Canis lupus familiaris: one gene and its partners. The protein of the gene in region 1 interacts with the protein of each later gene in a biochemical or structural test. Links are inferred from orthologs where the notes say so. Each region holds a gene or a part of one and is shown in the gene's direction. Other genes may lie near its edges. The genes, in order: CBX5, LBR and CHAF1A.

The links.
Region 2: the proteins of CBX5 (region 1) and LBR form a complex in vitro, tested with the Homo sapiens proteins (2 studies listed by BioGRID, with this or other methods). The link is inferred for Canis lupus familiaris from reciprocal best matches to the Homo sapiens genes CBX5 and LBR.
Region 3: the proteins of CBX5 (region 1) and CHAF1A form a complex in vitro, tested with the Homo sapiens proteins (2 studies listed by BioGRID). The link is inferred for Canis lupus familiaris from reciprocal best matches to the Homo sapiens genes CBX5 and CHAF1A.

The regions. Positions count from the first base shown.
Region 1 is NC_049248.1:45,609,813-45,615,724, reverse strand, and holds part of CBX5 (chromobox protein homolog 5), read left to right. Parts: intron 1-258; coding exon 259-445; intron 446-4,077; coding exon 4,078-4,178; intron 4,179-5,758; exon of another isoform or gene 5,759-5,818; intron 5,819-5,912. UniProt on the Homo sapiens protein: Component of heterochromatin that recognizes and binds histone H3 tails methylated at 'Lys-9' (H3K9me), leading to epigenetic repression. In contrast, it is excluded from chromatin when 'Tyr-41' of histone H3 is phosphorylated (H3Y41ph).
Region 2 is NC_049228.1:39,236,700-39,243,177, forward strand, and holds the start of LBR (delta(14)-sterol reductase LBR), read left to right. Parts: upstream 1-2,792; 5' UTR 2,793-2,909; intron 2,910-3,420; exon of another isoform or gene 3,421-3,636; intron 3,637-5,540; exon of another isoform or gene 5,541-5,726; intron 5,727-6,478. UniProt on the Homo sapiens protein: Catalyzes the reduction of the C14-unsaturated bond of lanosterol, as part of the metabolic pathway leading to cholesterol biosynthesis.
Region 3 is NC_049241.1:55,656,985-55,662,896, reverse strand, and holds part of CHAF1A (chromatin assembly factor 1 subunit A), read left to right. Parts: intron 1-310; coding exon 311-540; intron 541-759; coding exon 760-820; intron 821-1,020; coding exon 1,021-1,089; intron 1,090-4,308; coding exon 4,309-4,535; intron 4,536-5,101; coding exon 5,102-5,270; intron 5,271-5,423; coding exon 5,424-5,504; intron 5,505-5,912. UniProt on the Homo sapiens protein: Acts as a component of the histone chaperone complex chromatin assembly factor 1 (CAF-1), which assembles histone octamers onto DNA during replication and repair.

The DNA.
Region 1 (5,912 bases):
ATCCATTCACAAGTTGATGGGCATTTGAATTGTTTTCTGTCTTTAGCTATTAAAATGCTGCTATAAGTACTTGTGTGCAAGTTTCTTTGTGGATATGTATTTTTTTCATTTCTCTTAGATAGATTCCTAAGATCAAATTTGTTCTCTCTTAAGTGTAAGGCTTATTTCTTTTTGCCTACTTGTCTTCTTTGAAAGAAAGCACTGGATTTTTCCCCCCTCATTCTTTTCCTCCCCCCCCCCCCCATTCTTTGTGCCCAGGGAGCACAATACTTGGGAACCCGAGAAAAATTTGGATTGTCCTGAGCTAATTTCTGAGTTTATGAAAAAGTATAAGAAGATGAAGGAGGGTGAAAATAACAAACCCAGGGAGAAATCAGAAAGTAACAAGAGGAAATCCAATTTCTCGAACAATGCTGATGATATCAAATCCAAAAAAAAGAGAGAGGTAAGCTTCTTTTCCCCTTTTTCCCACAAACATTTGTTTTGCCTCTTCCCCACCTCCCCAACCTCCTAAGCAATATCTTGGTGGTTTCTGTTCTAAGGGTGGCTTGCAAGGTAAATTGTTGAACAAAAGAGCTTCCAAGGAGGTACGTTGATTAACTGCAGCTCCCTCTCCTGGCTGATTGAGAAACATACTGTATATTCCACTGAATTGTAGTAGAGTGGCAAAATTAAATCCCTGTAAAACAGGTAACCACTTCCTGTCTTCTCCATAATAAATAGGCAAAGTTATCTTAGTGAGGGAGGGACTTGGTGAAGTTTTTAAGTGTAGAAAAGGGGCTTTAAAGTGTTTACTAATGGGACGCCTGGGTGGCTCAGCGGTTGAGCGTCTGCTTTTGGTCCAGGGCATGATCCTGGAATCCTGGGATCGAGTCCCACATTGGGCTCTCTGCAGGGAGCCTGCTTCTCCCTCTGCCTGTGTCTCTGCCTCTCTCTCTCTGTGTCTCATGAATAAATAAATACAATCTTTTTTAAATAAAAGTAAAAAATAAAATATTTACTAATTTTTTTTCTAATTTTTTTGTTTCAAAGATAGCACTTATTTTTAAACTTTAAAATTCTTTTTTAAATTGAAGTGAAATTCACATAGCATGCAATAAACCATTTCATTTTATTATTAAGGATTTATTTGAGAGAGAATGAGCACGTATGCATACATTGTTGGAGAAGGGCAGAGGGAGAAGGGAGAGAATCACAAGCAGACTCCGCTGAACAGGGAGCCTGACCTGGGGCTTGATCTCAAGACCCTGAGATCACAACCTGAGCTGAAACCAAGATGCTCAACTGACTGCGCCTAGACGCAATTAACCATTTTAAGGTGTACAGTTCAGTGGCATGTATATTCTCTTTTGAGTCTATTATTTCTACATACTCCAAATAATTTTCATCTTTTTTTTTTTTAGTTCAGTTTATTTTTTTTAAGATTTTATTTATTTATTCATGAGAGGCAGAAAGAGAGGCAGAGACATAGGCAGAGGGAGAAGCAGGCTCCCTACGGGGAACCTGATGTGGGACTTGATCCCTAGACCCAGGATCATGCCCTGAGCTGAAGGCAGATGCTCAACTGCTAAGCCACCCAGGCATCCCTATTGTTAAGTTTAAAACGTGTGTTTATGAAAGTTTGGTTTGATTTAGTTACTTTAATTCTTCTGATCTTTAGCTCTCAATCACTAGCATAAGCCCTGTTCCTGCTTCTCTTTTTTTCATGTGTATATTTTCCATCTGTACACACACACAGACACACATATTACCCACCCCCCCAGCTTCCAATCCTTTCATTTATTTCAAGGTTATGAAGCCTTTTGTGATGAAGGATGTATCATACCCTTAACATTTAATAAAATAAAAGCATAAGTCCACTTCAGAATTTTCTAGTGTCCCTACCATAAGCATCTCTATTTATCTTCATTCTACTTGATACCCATCTTTCTAGAACATTAGTTCTCAGCCCTAGCTGTACATTAGAATCGCTAGGGGTGGGTGAGGGGCTTAAAAAAAAAAAAAAAAAAAAAAGACCAAGTACCCAAGATACACCTCAGACTAGTTAAATTCAGACTTCTCTGGGTTGGACCCTAGACATCAGTATTTTAAAAGACTTACACAAGTGATAGAGAAAATGGGAGATCAGCTTTCCAAAAAGAATTGAAATAAGAGTGAAAGATTGGAGGCTAAAAGTGAAAGTGCACTCTAGGTTTGTGTCTATCTCTTTATTTGCTTCCCTGGTTAATTTTATTTTTTGCAACCATATTTTTAAAACTACTTTGTTTTGGTGAGGTATGTATATCATTATGATATACTGTACTGATAAGGAATTTGAGAATGCCTTCTCTTCTCTAAGGAGCTAAGACCTGGTTTGCTCTTTCTTTTTTATTAGTCCTTTGTATTCTGGCTTTTGTTGTTTGATTCATTTTCTAGCTAAGTAAAGAGACCAAAAAACAGCACAGCAGAAGACTTGGGACTAGCCATTTGTGACATACGTTGTGTATTTCCTCAACCTAGGGTTTCTCTCCTTTCAAAAAGGAGCAGTCTGGCTTAGACCTACTGGCCGGCATAGAGAGTTTCTTTCCTGGGCCAGGTTCTGATGCTGCTGACCTTGAAAACAACCCCCACACGTCCCTTGTAATGTTCATCTAGGGTCCCTGACAGCATTCTCAGCAGTGCTGGCGGCTGTCAGGTAGGCAGCCAGGAAGATAGGTGATTGTATGTTTTAAAGGTACAGGAGGGGATTGCGTTTCTTTCTTTAGACCACTGCAGAAGAAATTTGTTAGTCGGCATTATGCCTGATTTAAGATTACTGCCTGTGTGATGATTTTAGCATTTTCCTCGCCTCGGCTCCTTTTCAGCAGCTTGAACATTTTTCTTCCCTTCCCTCTCTATGTGGCAAACTGTTTTCAGCCGCCAGCTATGATTTACAACTCAGTTTGTGTGCCAGCATTCCAGCTGTGAGCAGCTGTGTGCACATCTGGGAACCTCCTCCCCTTAAGCGCCCCCAAAAGAGGCAGTGTTTTTAAGTCAGTATCTCCCCTGATCCGTGCATGGAATTTCCTTCCCAGTGTTGGTTCTGGTATCTTTGGGGACCACCTGGATCCTGAATACTTTGTATCTCTCTCTCTCAAAAAAAAAGGGCAGAGTAAATGTCAGATCAAAGAGATTTTATTATGAAAATCGGACATCAGAGATCTAGTTCATTTGGGCAGTCTTTTTAAATCTTTTTTATGTTACCACTAGATAAGCTTGCATTATCTTCCATAATAAGGTTTTTAAAATTACCTGGTTTGTCTAAAATTTCACTGTTTTGCTCTCATCAGTGCCATCACACCTGAATAGGACTCTGTGCTCCTTGTCTTGATTGCATGATTGCATTTTGACCAAGTTTGAATAATCTAGAAAATTACTGGTTTGTTTTAAATCACTCTCCAGTTCTGTTTTCTAGTGCTAACAGCTCATGCATATCAGGAGGGGTTAGGCACAGACCAGGGCCTCTTCTCCAAGTGTGTGGGTATTGTGCAGTATGTGAGCTCTGAAAGAGATTTGCTATTTTATGGTACTGCCTTGAATCATTCTTATCTCTGTTCTTTCATAAATATAAACGACTGTGAAAAATATTAAAAATACTGGTCAGTGTTAAGGTAGACTAAATGTCTAAAAAAATTAAGATGGAGAAGCGGTACGTTTGAGTTTATAAAATGAAAAAGGGTTTAGTTCGGGTAAGCATGGACTTGTTTATCATCTCGGAAGCAACAATTGAGAAGTAGTCAATTCATAATATCAAGGAGATTAGATTAGAAGGTTAGATGAGTTCCTAGGTGATGCCTCCAGAATATCTTAAGGGATATGAAAGAGTTTTAGGGGCTGCTTGTAATCCTGTGAAAGTGTAGTAGAAGGACAACTGCATCTAACAAAAATACTTCTTGGCGTCATTGTCACTGGCTGGCCCAGTATTGTATTTCTTAAGTTCTAAGAATTCTTTGAATTTGTGACAAAAATGAACTTAGGTTGGGCTTTGTTGAGCTGTGAAACTTTTTTTTTTTTAACTCTTCTCCAGACTGTAACCTTTTCTTTATCTTCTATTTATAGCAGAGCAATGATATCGCTCGGGGCTTTGAGAGAGGACTGGAACCAGAAAAGATCATTGGGGCGACAGATTCCTGTGGTGATTTAATGTTCCTAATGAAATGGTGAGAGAGATTGGGCTTCACTGTATAGTTGTGTTTCTTTGCCAGTGGCTTGAATTTGTATAGAAGATAGGGAAGGAAGGCAGAGTATATCCCGACTAAGAATTTTGATTGTCAAGAATCTTTGGTTTATATCACCCATTAGTATTAATGGAAATTATGGTTGGGAGTGGATTTAAGACATTCTCAAGCCTTGGTATTAAGCCAAATTATTTTAGCCCAAATACCTAAGGTAGCTTTGAGGTAGGAAACGTATAGACATGACCTAACCATTTATTTACACAGTTCTGAATCATTTACCGTTAGACCATGAGCCTGTGGCCATGAGATAGGAGTTGAGTGAGGCTTTCTGGCATCACTAAGGATCAAAACAACTGAATAATGTCTAAAAGCGAAAAATCATCTCAACAGAGAGCATTTACTAATACTAGCCAAAGCGTAAATAAGCGTAAGTTATTTCATCCGGTGGAGGGAGTGTCTCTTAGAGGAAAGTGTAGTTACTTCCCCTCAATTTGGTTTCGTAAAGACAGGGTGATTTATGGTGTGGCCCTCACTACCTCTCTGTTTCCAGTGTTCTGGGCTTGTGATTTAAGTTTGGTTTCTAAAGAGAGGCTTCATGCTGCATTGCCACTGAGGAAGCTTATTTACCTTGAAGTTGTAGAATCAAAAGGTTTAATATTTTATCTGATCGAAATTTTGCTGGTAAATTACCCAGAAGCCTAGATTTGAAGAATCATTATACTCTGTCAGAAGTAAGGAACTGTATTGACTATTTTCCCCCACTCAGCCATATGTGTTGCATATGATTTATAATCATACATTAACTAGCTTTTTTTTCCACCACAGTCCAAATTTGAGTGTCTGCTCTGAGCTGTGTGTTTTCCCCTCCTTTCCTCACCCATAATACTTTCTCCATTTGGAATGCTGGTTAAGGGACTTGCTAGATTTTTATTTATGTATGTATGTATGTATGTTTTATTTATTCACAAGAGACACAGGGAGAGGCAGAGACGCAGGCAGAGGGAGAAGCAGGCTCCATGCAGGGAGCCCGATGTGGGACTCGATCCCAGGACTCTGGGATCACTCCCTGGACTGAAGGCAGGCGCTAAACCACTGAGCCACCCAGGGCTAGAATTTTATTTATACACGTTGGTAGAGCTCTTGTAACTTGGACAATTGAAATTTGCAGCTAATTCCTACATTTCATTTTAGTGACTGGATTTTACATTCTCTTATTGTTCCTTATATAAGTACTATTGCAGACTTAAATTTCTGTTTTCTTACTATTCTAGTCCATAGTTCTCACCAAAAGGATAGTGAGTGTTTAAAAGGCCACAAGATGAGAAAGGTTAACCCTTTCACTGAGATGATCCAGAAACTGTATTGATCATTCTGTGCATAATCAATAGGACTGAATGTAGATTTGATCATGTTCACTCAATACATATAAATCAAAATTATAGGAGCAAAATTTATATAACTTCATTTTCAGCCTTTTGATTAAGCCTGCTATGTTTTCCATCTAAGTTCTAGCTGAAGACTTCCGCTTCTGTCTGATGTAGCAGCAGTTAAATGATACTCACTGATAATTTATTTACTTGAATTTCTCCTTGAAAGTACGGAGCTGTTAGGGTTGTCCTCACCTTGAAATCGAGATGGAGAGGAAATCAAGTTGGTTAAATCCATATAATATAAACCTTGGTGTATTTATTTTTAATATTTTATTTATTCATGAAA
Region 2 (6,478 bases), on another chromosome or scaffold:
ATCAAACTTCAGTAGGAATGTGCTATCAGATGGCCCCTGGGATACGTCCGTGTCATGATGATTTCCGCGCTCCAGTGTCTATCTAACAGCTTCTCCCTTATAAAGCAGGACTGGGGCGCCTGGGGGCTCAGTTGGGTATGTGTCTGCCTTTGGATATCAGGTCATGATCTCAGGGTTCTGGGATCGAGTCCTTGGTGGGGCTCCCTGCTCAGCGGGCAGCCTACTTTTCCTTCCCCCTCTGCTTGTTTTCTCTCAAATAAATGAATAAATAAAATCGCTAAAAACAGCCTCAACAAAACAGTACCGAAAGAGTCCAAATGGGCTTCCTCACGTCATGTGAAACTGTGCCTAGACCTGCTTCCCAAAAGAACTGTTTCAGTCCTCACAGCCCAGATCCTCTGGGAAGCTAAAGCAGAGAATCTCCATGAGCGATCACACCGCAAGGAGGTTCCTGGGTTTCCCACATGAGATTTCCTGGCCCCACGTGTGGTCTCTGGCTCTGTCAGTGGCCAGGCGGTGGGCTTTGCTTCCCCACTACCTCACTTTCCTTGCAGATTGTGGGAGGGCACTGTGCCACTCACTGCTACCTTAACAGCAGTGCCAACACTCTGCTCTTTTTTTTAAAGATTTATTTATTTATTCATGAGAGACAGACAGAGAGAGACACACACACACACACACACAGAAAGAGAGAGGCAGAGACACAGGCAGAGGGAGAAGCAGGCTCCTCCCAGGGAGCTCAATGCAGAACTCAATCCTGGATCCCAGGATCATGACCTGAGCTGAAAGCAGGCACCCAACCGCTGAGCCATCCAGGCATCCAAGACTCTGCTCTTTAAGTGACTCTGACTTTATATATTCTGAAAATCCACACTTGCTACATGTGATTGATGAACATCTCTCTGAGAACAAACCCTGGAAATTCTCTACTCCCAAATATACACACTTTAAGTAGTTTTTGTAAGAAAAATGAGAGGAAAATACCAATTATTCCTTTATTGAGGAAGTAGCCTATGTATCAATCTGATTTTTCACAACACACCTCAGTCCACTAGCTAGAAATAAATAAGTATTGCTTTGTTTCTCTGATGTCAGAAGCAGCTGTTTTGAAAAATATTTTTGGTAATTTATAAGGTAAAATGTTAGCTCAGCTCATTCTAGTGATTTACAATCTTTTAATTTCATTTTGTTATGAGGCTTTTATAAACCTGACTTTGAAAATGCAACATGTGTGTTTAAGAGAATCTTTTGTCTCATAAACGGAAATGATCCAGGAAATGCGTATTTCAAGGGAAGGGCAGTGAAATCTTGGTTCTGGGCAGGGCAGATGAGAACAGAGTAGCACTGCTTGGCCATTAGGAATAAAGTCTATCTTGGGGCCCCCTGGACCTGGGATAGGTACCCATTTCTGGGTCATCTGCTGCAAAAAAAATGAGGCAGGGTTGATATTATCTTAAACGTTAGACAACCAGGGTCCATGGCTTTGCCAAAAATCAGGTTTTTTGACTTTGGAGTGCAATGTCCATTTTTGTAGCTCAGATCTCCAAGAAAACTCCACAACAATGAAGACAGTTTGATGTCAGGACTTGTTTTCAGGAAAGGCTCCGATAAAAGCTTTCACACTGGATGTGAATGACTGAGAAAGCTCAATTAGCTTTTTTTTTTTTTTAAAGTAGTAAACTGAGTGTTTTGTAGCTCATAACTGTTAGAAAATGAGAACTCTTGCGAGTGAAGCTGTGCCATCAACAGGAAAAGCCTGTTTATTATTATAATTTAACTGACAGAGTTTTTGACATTCACTTAAATTTACCAGTAAGTTAGGCTAACCTAGTAGTTGGGTTAAGAAGTACTTGAAGACCACACTGCAAAACGGGGAACTTCAATGGACTTCTTTAAACTCTCGACCTCAGAGTAAGGAAACCAACCAACCGATGATGATAACTTGAGGCACAAAAAGCTATAGGATCCATACCAGATTCCGAGTTATCGATCGCCGCTTTGGAGGCCAATTAACACCAGCCTTGTGGTAGCCGGGCGCACAAGGCAAGAGTTCTCTGTCGCCGGTCACATGTTAACGGCGTACTTTCTGGCACCTGCGGCCAGGACCCCCGGCCCCCTGGCTCCCCAGACCCCGCGGCACCCCTGCCCCTCGCTCGGGTCACTGCGCCCCCCGCCCCACCCCTGCCCTCGCTCGGGTCACTGCGCCCCCCGCCCCACCCCTGCCCTCGCTCCGGTCACTGCGCCCCCCGCCCCACCCCTGCCCACGCTCCGGTCACTGCGCCCCCCACCCGCTCGCGGCCCAGGCCGGGTCCCGCCGCCGGGACAAAGGAGCCGGAGCCCTGGAGGGGCCGTCGGGGCGGGCCGGCCGCAGCCGCCCTCGCGGTCGGGAGAGCTCAGCCTGCGAGTTGGCGGGAAGCACCTGCCGCCCCCGACAGTCGGCCCGGACTCGGCACCGCGCGAACTGACGGACTCCTGGGCAGGTAGCGATTATCTTTCTCCGGAGCGCGCGGGGCACGGCTGGGCGGGGCGGGGGCGCAGGGGCGGGGCGGGGGCGCGGCGCCTGGGCCGCCCAGATACGGCGGGCGGCGGGCGGCGGGCGGATGGAGCCCTCGGCCCGGCTCCGCGCCTGCCCCGCCCCCGCAGCCGCGCCACGCGCACGGCCAATGGGCGGCGCCGGGGACGATTCAAAAGGCCGGGCGGCCAATGGGAGCGCGGGGCGGGGCGGGGCGGGGCGGGGCGGGGCGGGCGGGGGCGCGCTCGGGCGCGCGGGTGCGGGTGCGGGTGCGCGCGGGGCGGGCGGCGTCGTGCGCGCGGAGCGGCGGGCGGGTGCTGCTGGGCGGGTGCTGCTGGGCGGGTGCTGCTGGGCGGGTGTCCCGGAGCCGTTCGCGTCCCGCCGGAGCCCGGCGCAGGTGAGCGTCCCCGCGCCCGCCGCCCAGCGCCGAGCGGCCTCCGGGGGCGGGGGCGGGAGGCGGGAGGCGGGAGGCGGGGGCGGGGGGGTGGGGGGCGGCGGGGGCGGGGACGCGCGGCCTGGGCTTTCCCGCGGGGGTCGGCGGGGCCGCGGCGGAAGTGGAGCGGAGGTGGAGATCGCCGGCGCCTCCCTCCATTTTGGGCGCGCGGCGGCGGCGTCGGCGGGAGGGCGGCGGGGGGGCCTGGAGCCTGCGTGCGGCCGCGGCGGGCCGGGCGGGGACGCGGGGGGAGGGGAGGGGGGCCCGGCCGGGGCCGGGGGAGGGGCGCGCGGGGCGGGGGCCGGGCCGGGGCCGGGCCGGGGCGGGGGCGGGGGATGCTCTGACGTCCGCGCTCGCCGTCTCCCGGCCCGCGGCTCTCACGCTCCGAACGCGGGTAGCGCGGCGGGCTGCGCGTGCTCGACCCTGTGTTTTCAGCGTCTTAAGGATCTTTACAAAGTCCTCGTCGCGACACCGTCCCACGGTCTCAAGGGGCCCCTCTACGGCCTGAGGTCCTTGGCGGCTGCGCGCACCTGCCGCACTAGCCCGCGCCGCGTGCCCCGTGCCCCGTGCCCCGTGTGCTGGTGGCGGGAGGACGGGCCCTGCTGCGGGGCAGGAAGACGCCGGGTGTGGACAGAGCACGGGCAGCTGCTCCAGCCGGTTTCCGAGAGCTGTCCGGGGAGGAGGGAGAAGAGTGAGCCTCCGGGGAGCGGGCCTCACCTTGGGGTGTTTGCATTACCTAGGGGGTTCGGTCAGCCTCCCCGGCCTGACCTGACGGCGGCCGGGGCTGTGGTGTTACCCTGGCCTCCTGCAGGGGGCAGGGGGCAGGGGGCAGGGGGCAGGGGGCAAGGCCAGGGTATGCCTAGTGGGCCGACCTTGGGCCCAGGTGTGCAAGGGAGGCAGTCAGACTTCTCCAAGTTCCCCTTTCTGCCCTATCTGGACTGGTTTGGAAAAGTGAGGGAAAGATGACCACAGACCGTGTAACACTGTGGTCTCTGATCAGCAGTGCTCTGTGGTGTTGATAAACAGTAACATATTGGAGCCCAAGTGGGTGAGGATTCCAGGGCTGACTGAGAAGTTAGCAAGCATGGGGCTTCACAGCCACAAGCCTGAGAAGGTGGTATTCAGTAAACACATTTTTTCTTTCCACCCTTGACTGATACATCCCTTCTAAGAGAAGCTTGTCTGTGTGTCTGCCCCTCATTAGAAGGATGTGTGATGGCAGTGAAGCTCGAGTGTCCAGACCTGGCCCATTTACTCCCGCAGGAGATCCTGTTAGAAGGTGGCCCCGCTGTCACAATGTGGGAGGATCTTGGGCAAAGTGGAGGTGCACATGATGCTGTGGTTTCATCTTTTGGGGTATTTGTTGATACCATAGTGGTCTCCTAAGGAAAGTGCCGGCTTGGGTTTTCTTTCTTGGCCACCATGTGAAACATCACTATGAAGTCCCAGTTCTTTGTTATCTTTTTAAAAAATTAAGCATAGTGACCTAACAGATATTCACCAGGTATCTTAATTTCTGTAACCCAAAATATTTATTTAATTAAGATTTTATTTATTTATTCATGAGAGGCACAGAGAGAGGCAGAGACATAGGCAGAGAGAAGCAGGCTCCCTGCAGGGGGAGCCCGATGCAGGACTCTCCCAGGACTCCAGGATCACGCAGTGAGCCAAAGGCAGATGCTCAACCACAAGGCTACCCAGGCACCCTAACCTAAAAGATTTACTTGAGTGTAATAGAAAGATGCCAATAAATCAGTGTTCAGAAAGGTGCAGTATCTGTTCCGAGGCCTTTTTAAAAGTTCTGAGGGACTGGATTTCAGATGTGTGGAGAGTTGTTTGAAACTTGAATGGCATCTTCATGTAGTCAGATATAGTTGTCTTCTTTAAACCCTGGTTGACCAGCATCAGAGAATCAGTACCAGTAACAGTGGTTTGATTTTAGGGGGTCCAGGGAGGAGGAGGGGCAAGAGAGAAGAGGGCACATTTCCTTCCTCTTTCTTAGTACTTGGAGGTTCTCGGACCTGAATGTTGAAACAGACAAGGTTTGCTGTTGTCACCTTCCTTTTTGTGCCCTTTCTGTGTGTCCCCAGGCATCCACTGCCTCCACTGGCGAGGTGCCCCTCCGGTGCCTCCTTAGCTAGGTGTGAGTCAGCCCCAATGCCTCTGGCTCCTCTCACCCTCGCCCACACCCCTTCATTAGCCTACGATGATGCTATCTCAGGTGGGTGCGGGCAGGGCCCCTTCTACACTGGTGGGTAATGGATGGACACCCTCTAATCACTGGCTGAGTGGCTGTGTTTGCTTTCATCTCCCAGCCTCCCTACTATCTCTAAACAAGTGCAGTTTGTGAAGTATTTTCTCAGGCAATTAACAGTGAAGAAATGTGCTTATGAAAGGTTTCCCCCTGGAGGGGTGGGGTAATGCAGCTTTGTCCTTTCTTAACTCCAGAGCTTCTGGGGGGGCCCACACGGCAGGCGTTGTACAGTCGGCGGCTCTGGACAGGAGAAGAGTGAGGAGGAATGCTTAGTGCCCAGACGGCCGATCAGGTTGTTGAGCTGGCGACAGGAAGGTCATTGGGGGAGCATTTCTCTGCAGGACTGTCTGCTGCTTAGACGAGGCCAGCCGCTGGTTCAGCCGCCGGTGCGGAGAGTTGGAGGCACTCGGTGTTGTCACGTGGAAGTGGGAATCTGTAACTCCGTGGACGGGGAAACCGTGCGGCCTGAGAGCTGGAAGCGCCCAGCAACCAGTTGATATTGGAGGAGGGTGGCCAGCAGGCCCCCTGTAAGTGGCAATTCCTGCGGATCATGCGTGGTTTCTCAGAGTGTGGTGGAAAGGCGGCTCTGGGGGCCGTGTGCAAAAGAATGTTAAAATGAGGGTGGGTGTCTGCTGCAGCCCTGAGAGCTGCACCAGGATGAAGGCCGGGTACCCGCAGACTTGTTTGGTAGAATTTGTATTTTAGCTGTAAGACTTAAAAACTTTATTTAAGCACCCCCAGTTTGCTCTTCATTATGAGTTTGGAATTATTTTTCTCCTTGTTGGTGGGTTGTAGTAACGTTAATTGTATATCCTTGATTTTCCCAGATGGTTGGTTTCTTATTAGAGTTTATTTGAAGTAAGCTCTACGCCCAATGTGAGGCTTGAACTCACAACCCAGAGATGAGGAGTTGCACGCTCTACCATCTGAGCCCGCCAAGCGCCCCCATATGCGAATTTATAAATGAAAAAATGGACCTAATTGTTGACTGTGTCTTGTTGAACAGCAAGATGTCTGGTCACTTGGGTGATAGATTTTGCAGAGTGCAAACCACCTGGTGCCTTTATGTCCTGCTGCATTTTCATATCACTGGCAGGCGACATGGTGGCAACATCATCCTGTGTAAAGTGACCCCAGAAGGTTTATGTCCTGGCAGAAAGAACAGCCTCTGTGTATCCCAACCCTTGCCATTTCCTGCTGCCAATTTTTATGTCCTTGAAAAAAACAGTTAACAGCTTTACACTATATTCTCACCTTTGGACAAAGGGGTTGGACGTCC
Region 3 (5,912 bases), on another chromosome or scaffold:
AAGATTAGGTAGCCCAGAGCTTCTTATGTCATTGTTTCTCATTAGGTAAAAAGATAAACTCCACCCCATGTTTAAAGATGGTATTTTGAGCGAATCTTATTTTGAATGGCCCTGAGGTCTTGGGACAAATGGCCAGTGGACATCACTGTTCTAGTGGCGGGCAGTGACAGGTGCTACAGGGTGGCCCGTGTGGGAGGGTGCTGGCCAGTGGGGGGGTCCTGGGCGGGCCACCTCTCTGCTCCCTCCAGCTGCCTGTGGGCCCTCCTGGGAGGCACAGGGGCACAGCTGTGGGACCATCTCTTGGCTTCAGGATAAGGAACGTTTAGGCAAGCAGCTCAAGTTACGGGCCGAGAAAGAAGAAAAGGAGAAGCTGAAGGAGGAGGCCAAGCGGGCCAAAGAAGAAGCCAAGAAGAAGAAGGAGGAAGAGAAGGAGCTGAAGGAAAAGGAGAGGCGCGAGAAAAGGGAGAAGGATGAAAAGGAGAAGGCAGAGAAGCAGCGGCTCAAGGAGGAGAGGCGCAAGGAGCGGCAGGAGGCGCTAGAGTGCGTGTGCCCTTGGAAGGTGGGGGTGGGCAGGGAGGTGGTGCGGGGGGGGGGGGGGGGGGGGCAGGGAAGCAGGAGTACCTCCACCCCCTCCCCCCAGCACACAAGCATATCCTCTCCCCACCTCCACCCCCCCACACACACACCACACACACACACACCCCTGCCAGGGACCTATGAGCCACACCTGGGGCTAAAGCCGAATTTCCTGTCTCCCAGGGCAAAGCTGGAGGAGAAGAGGAAAAAAGAAGAGGAAAAACGGTTACGGGAAGAAGAGAAGGTAGACTGTTCTCCCAAACGGCTGCTGGTGTTCCCTCCGTCTGGGGAAGCCAGGTGGCCCCCGCCGAGACTGGCTGCATGTTGATGGGTTTTGAGAGCTCATATCAAAAGAATGCTTTCAGCTTAAAAGTGCTGGGGCTCCTGTTCTAGAGGCCACTGTCCCTCTTCATTTCTTCATGCTCATCTCCTTTTCTGTTGCAGCGCATTAAAGCAGAGAAGGCTGAAATCACGAGGTTTTTTCAGAAGCCAAAGACCCCACAGGCTCCCAAGGTGAGCTTCTGGCTTCCTCTGGCTTGGCTTTCTCTCTCGGTCATGTTCTTCCTTTTGAAAAGTATAAGGGTATTTTCTGACCAGGTAGCTCCCCTTTCATCAAGAGAGGGCCTCTGCTTACAAGGGAGCTTTTATTTCTGGTAGAGTCTGAAGACTCAATATTTTGTTATTTGTTATGTCTTTGAAAAGGCTAAAAGTGGCATGTTTGCTAAAACTGCTAAGCATTAAAAAAATATATATATAAAACTGCTAAGCGTTAAGTTGCTTTATGAACAGTTTTGCATTAGGAGCTATGTGGAAAGGTGTCATCGAAGACCTAGTCCTTACCTTCAGAGAACTGAGGCTCAGGATGGGAGGCAAGATTAAGCATAAGTCAGCAGTCTAGAATGCAGCCCAGGATTCTGCTTCCCTGTCCTGGTGTTTGTCACCCTGTAAGCAGCACCTGCTTCTGGAAACCCCAGACTTCCTTCCCTGCCCCTCGGTGCTCCAGAGGTAACCCATGCAGTGGTGTCACCTAGAGCTTTGACTACATTCACATCCCTCCATATATATTTGTTTATATACATAATGATTCATGAGTTTGTTATGTCCCTATTTTGTTTACATAGCTGTATCTTGGATTCTTGCCATGCTGGCTCATTTGGGTCAGCTTTGTTCTCTCTTGCCACTTAACATTTCGTAGTGTGGATGTTGTCACAGTTTGTATGTCCATTGCAGTATCAATGCCCCATCAGTGGCACGGTGAGTGTCACTGACCCTCCTCTGCATATATGCCTTTCTTTAGGACAGCCACCGGGAAGCGGGCTTGGCCCGCAGTCCAAGGATACACACTCACAGAATCACTAATTGCGTTAGTTCCTATCTGGGCACCCTCCCAGTGGGAAGTGCTAATGTCCATGCTGGGCATCATGGGGAAATATGCTCTTCTCTCCTGCACTAGCACTGAATGGAACATGCTTTCTTTTAACCTCACCAATCTAGTTGGCAAAAAAAAAAAAAAAAAAAATTCTTATTTCATTTTACATTTTTCCTTGATTCCACTTGGACATCTTTTTGTGTGTGTTTGCCATTTTATTTATTTATTTTTTTAAGATTTTATTTATTCACGAGAGATACAGAAGGCGGAGACATAGGCAGAGGGAGAAGCAGACTCCTCAGGAGCCCAATGTGGGACTTGATCCTGGAACTCCAGGATCACACCCTGAGCCAAAGGCAGACGCTCAACCACAGAACCACCCAGGCATCCTGCCACTTTATTTCTTCTCTGTCTTGCCAATTCCTATTTTTTACTTATTTTTCTATAGGATTGGCTTTTCCTCTGAACTCTAGGAGTTATTTTTACAGCCAGGATTTTCTTTTTTATTCATTTATTTGGAGAGGGGGGAAGAGAAAACAGGGAGGAGCAGACTCCCTATTGAGCAAGGCACCTGATACAGGACTCTCTCTCAGGACCCTGGGATCATGACCTGAGCTGAAGGCACATGCTTCACCAACTGAGCCACCCACAGCCAGGATTTTCATTCTTGGTGACACATGCTATAGATACTCCCTTTCAGTCTGCTACTCGCTTTCTAACCTGTTTATTGTGTCTTTTGTCCTTCAGAAATTTTATGAGTTTTTTGTTGGTTTTGTAACATTTTATTTATTTATTCATGAGAAACAGAGAGAGGGAGGCAGAGACACAGGCAGAAGGAGAAGCAGGCTCCATGCAGGGAGCCTGACGTGGGACTCGATCCTGGGTCTCCAGGATCACACCCCAGGCCGAAGGCAGCGCTAAACCGCTGAGCCACCCAGGCTGCCCAAAATTTTATGTTTTAATGTCAACATTTTTAAATTTTTTATGGCAGTGGGCTTGTGGTTACAAAGCCTTGTTTACCCTGTAGCCATTGACGATACATTCTCTTTCTTAGTTTTTTTGTGGTTTTTTTTTTTTACTGTTTGTTCTAGTTCATCTGTTTTTAAAGATTTTAAGTCACCTCTACACCCAACGTGAGGTTCAGACTCACAACCCCAAGATAAAGGGTCGTATGCTCTACCAACTGAGCCAGCCAGTCCCCTTTGTTCCTTTTTTTTTTTTTTTTTTAAGATTTACTTATTTATTCATGATAGAGAGAGAGAAAGAGAGGCAGATACAGGAGGAGGGAGAAGCAGGCTCCATGCCGGGAGCCCGATGTGGGACTCGATCCCGGGACTCCAGGATCGCTCCCTGGGCCAAAGGCAGGTGCCAAACTACTGAGCCACCCAGGGATCCCCCCCGCTTTGTTTTTTTATGTATAGTTTCTTAGCCAGAGTTCCTGGTCATATGGGCTTGGCCCTAACTCTGTTAGGATGGATGCCTGACATCCCAGCACCCGTTTATTAGTGAGGTGGTTCTTGGCTTTGGCTCTGTGTTGGGAATCCCCAGGGAGCTTTACAAAAATAGGGAGCCTGGATCCCATCCCTGGTGTGGGCATTGAGGTTTTCAGCAGCCTCCAGATGTCCTGCTGTGTGGCCATGGTGAAGGCTGTTGCTATAGTGCTCTATCCTCAATGGGGTCGGAGGCTGGCTTTCCTATACTGAGCTTTATAGATCTAGGCTCTCCTCCTGACTCCCCAAGTCCTGCTGTGCTCCCAGCTTTGGGATCCACTGACAGACATGGGAGATGCTGAAGCAACTCTTGATGGGCAAACTAAACCCACCAGAATATGTGGCGGTTAATTCTTAGGGAACAGGCACCGACCTGTCAGGTTCATGTGTCCGTTTTCAGTGTTGAGATGGGCTTGGGTTGTAAGTCATCTTGTCAAGGTTTGGCTTTGGATAAGCGGTCAGTCCCCGGGGTCTCAGTTCCCTCACCTGGGAATTCAGGTTCTATTGCAGCCCACCCCCTTCTTTTTAAAAAGCCATGTTTTTTGAGGTATAATTTACGTAAAATTCTCTCGTTTGCTGAGTTCTGATAATGGACTCCACAGCACCCCCGTGCTCCACCATCCCATACTCAAGGTCTAGAGTATTTCTGGCACCTCACTTGGCTCCCTGTAGTTTTGCCTTTTCCAGAAACTAGTATAAATGACATCACGGAGGGTGTAGCCTTTTGTGTGTCTCCTGAGACTTAGCAACCTGGATGAATGTGAAAAGCAATGTGCACATGCCATTGTGTCCAGCATCTCACACCCTCATGGCTGCTGAGTGGTGGGCATCCCCTCTCATAAGCATGCTATCACATCCTCTTCTCCATTTCAGACCCTGGCTGGCTCTTGTGGGAAGTTTGCCCCTTTTGAAATTAAAGAGCACATGGTTCTCGCCCCTCGGTTTCGGACTGTCTTTGACCAAGACCTCTGTGATCAGTTGGACCAGCTCCTCCAGCAACAGAGTGGCGAATTCTCCTTCCTGAAAGATCTGAAAGGCCGTCAGCCCCTCAGGTCCGGACCCACCGTGGTTTCAAATCGAAACACGAATATTTATAACAGGTTAGTGGGTGGGGAGACAGCCTTTTGCCTGTTGGTGAAATCAGAGCGCAGTTGGAAAGTCCTGGAGGGCCCAAGGCAGAGTTCTGGGTTTAGGCCCGCTGCTGGCTCATCGTGGCCAAGGGCTAGTTGTCTTCCATCCTGGACCTAAGGCCTGAACCTTCAGACCTTGCTTTTTTGGCCTCCCCTGAGCTTCTGAAGTCTCATGTGCAGTGGCTTTGCCAAAAGCCACTGCTATGGAGTGCAGACTGCTTGGCTTGGCCTCCTGGTCTCTCAGAGGGGGGATCTTATTTCCATGCTGGCCTCCTGGGAAGGACATTTCACCGTTCTCTTTGATCTGCTTACTCTCCACGACCCCACTTCTGTAAATGCTGTGAGCCAGCAACTTGGCAGTTTTGTTTCTCCTTCCTCCTTGCTCTGTGTCCCTGGAATAAATGTCCCTTAGCTTTCTTGGGAGCAGGTGGTTGGTTACCCATCATGGTAAAATGTTGATAGCCTATTTTCTTGGGAAGCCTGGGTGGTCAGCGGGTGGGTTGTAGAACAGGCACATTATTGGGTTTCCTCCTCAGTGATGTGGTGATCGTGGAGAGCGGCAAGGTCGAGGGTGTTCCTGAGAGGAAGAAGTTTGGCAGGATGAAGCTCCTACAGTTTTCTGAGAATCATCGACCAGCGTACTGGGGAACGTGGAATAAGAAGACAACCGTCATCCATCCGAGGGACCCCTGGGCCCAAGACAGGGTGAGCAAGTGGTCCAGCCTCACCTGCCTTTCTACATTTCCTTCTCATTTTGCCTTTTTTGCACTGGTCTCCTGGATTTCATAAGCATTGTAGCTTTTCTGCTCTGCCACCCCTGAAAGACAACCATGACGCCCTGCGTCCTTGTTTTCTCAGAAGCTCCTGGACTATGAGGTGGACAGTGACGAGGAGTGGGAAGAGGAGGAGCCGGGCGAGTCCCTGTCCCACAGTGAGGGGGTAAGCACACACCTGCACCTGTGGTTTCCCCCAGAAGGCCAAGGCAGGCCCTAGGTTGAGTTCACTCACAGCCAGCCTTCGAGCCGCAGTGTCATCTGAAATTTCAGCCAGATCTCAGGGCTACCTGGGAGGCTCAGTTGGTTGAGGGTCCAACTCTTGATTTTGGCTCAAGGTTGTGAGATGGAGTCCCATGGCAGACTCTGCACTGAGTTCAGAGTCTGCTTGAGATTCTCCCTCTGCCCCTCCCTCTCCTCTCCCACTCTTTCTCTCAAATAAATAAATAAATATTTTTTTTGAAAAAATAAGTTAAGAAAAACTAGGTTTTCAACTTCTCTTGAAAAGCCTATTTGGTGACACTAACCCACTTGGCAGTGGGACCAAGCAGCATCTACCCTGTTAAGTGGGGCA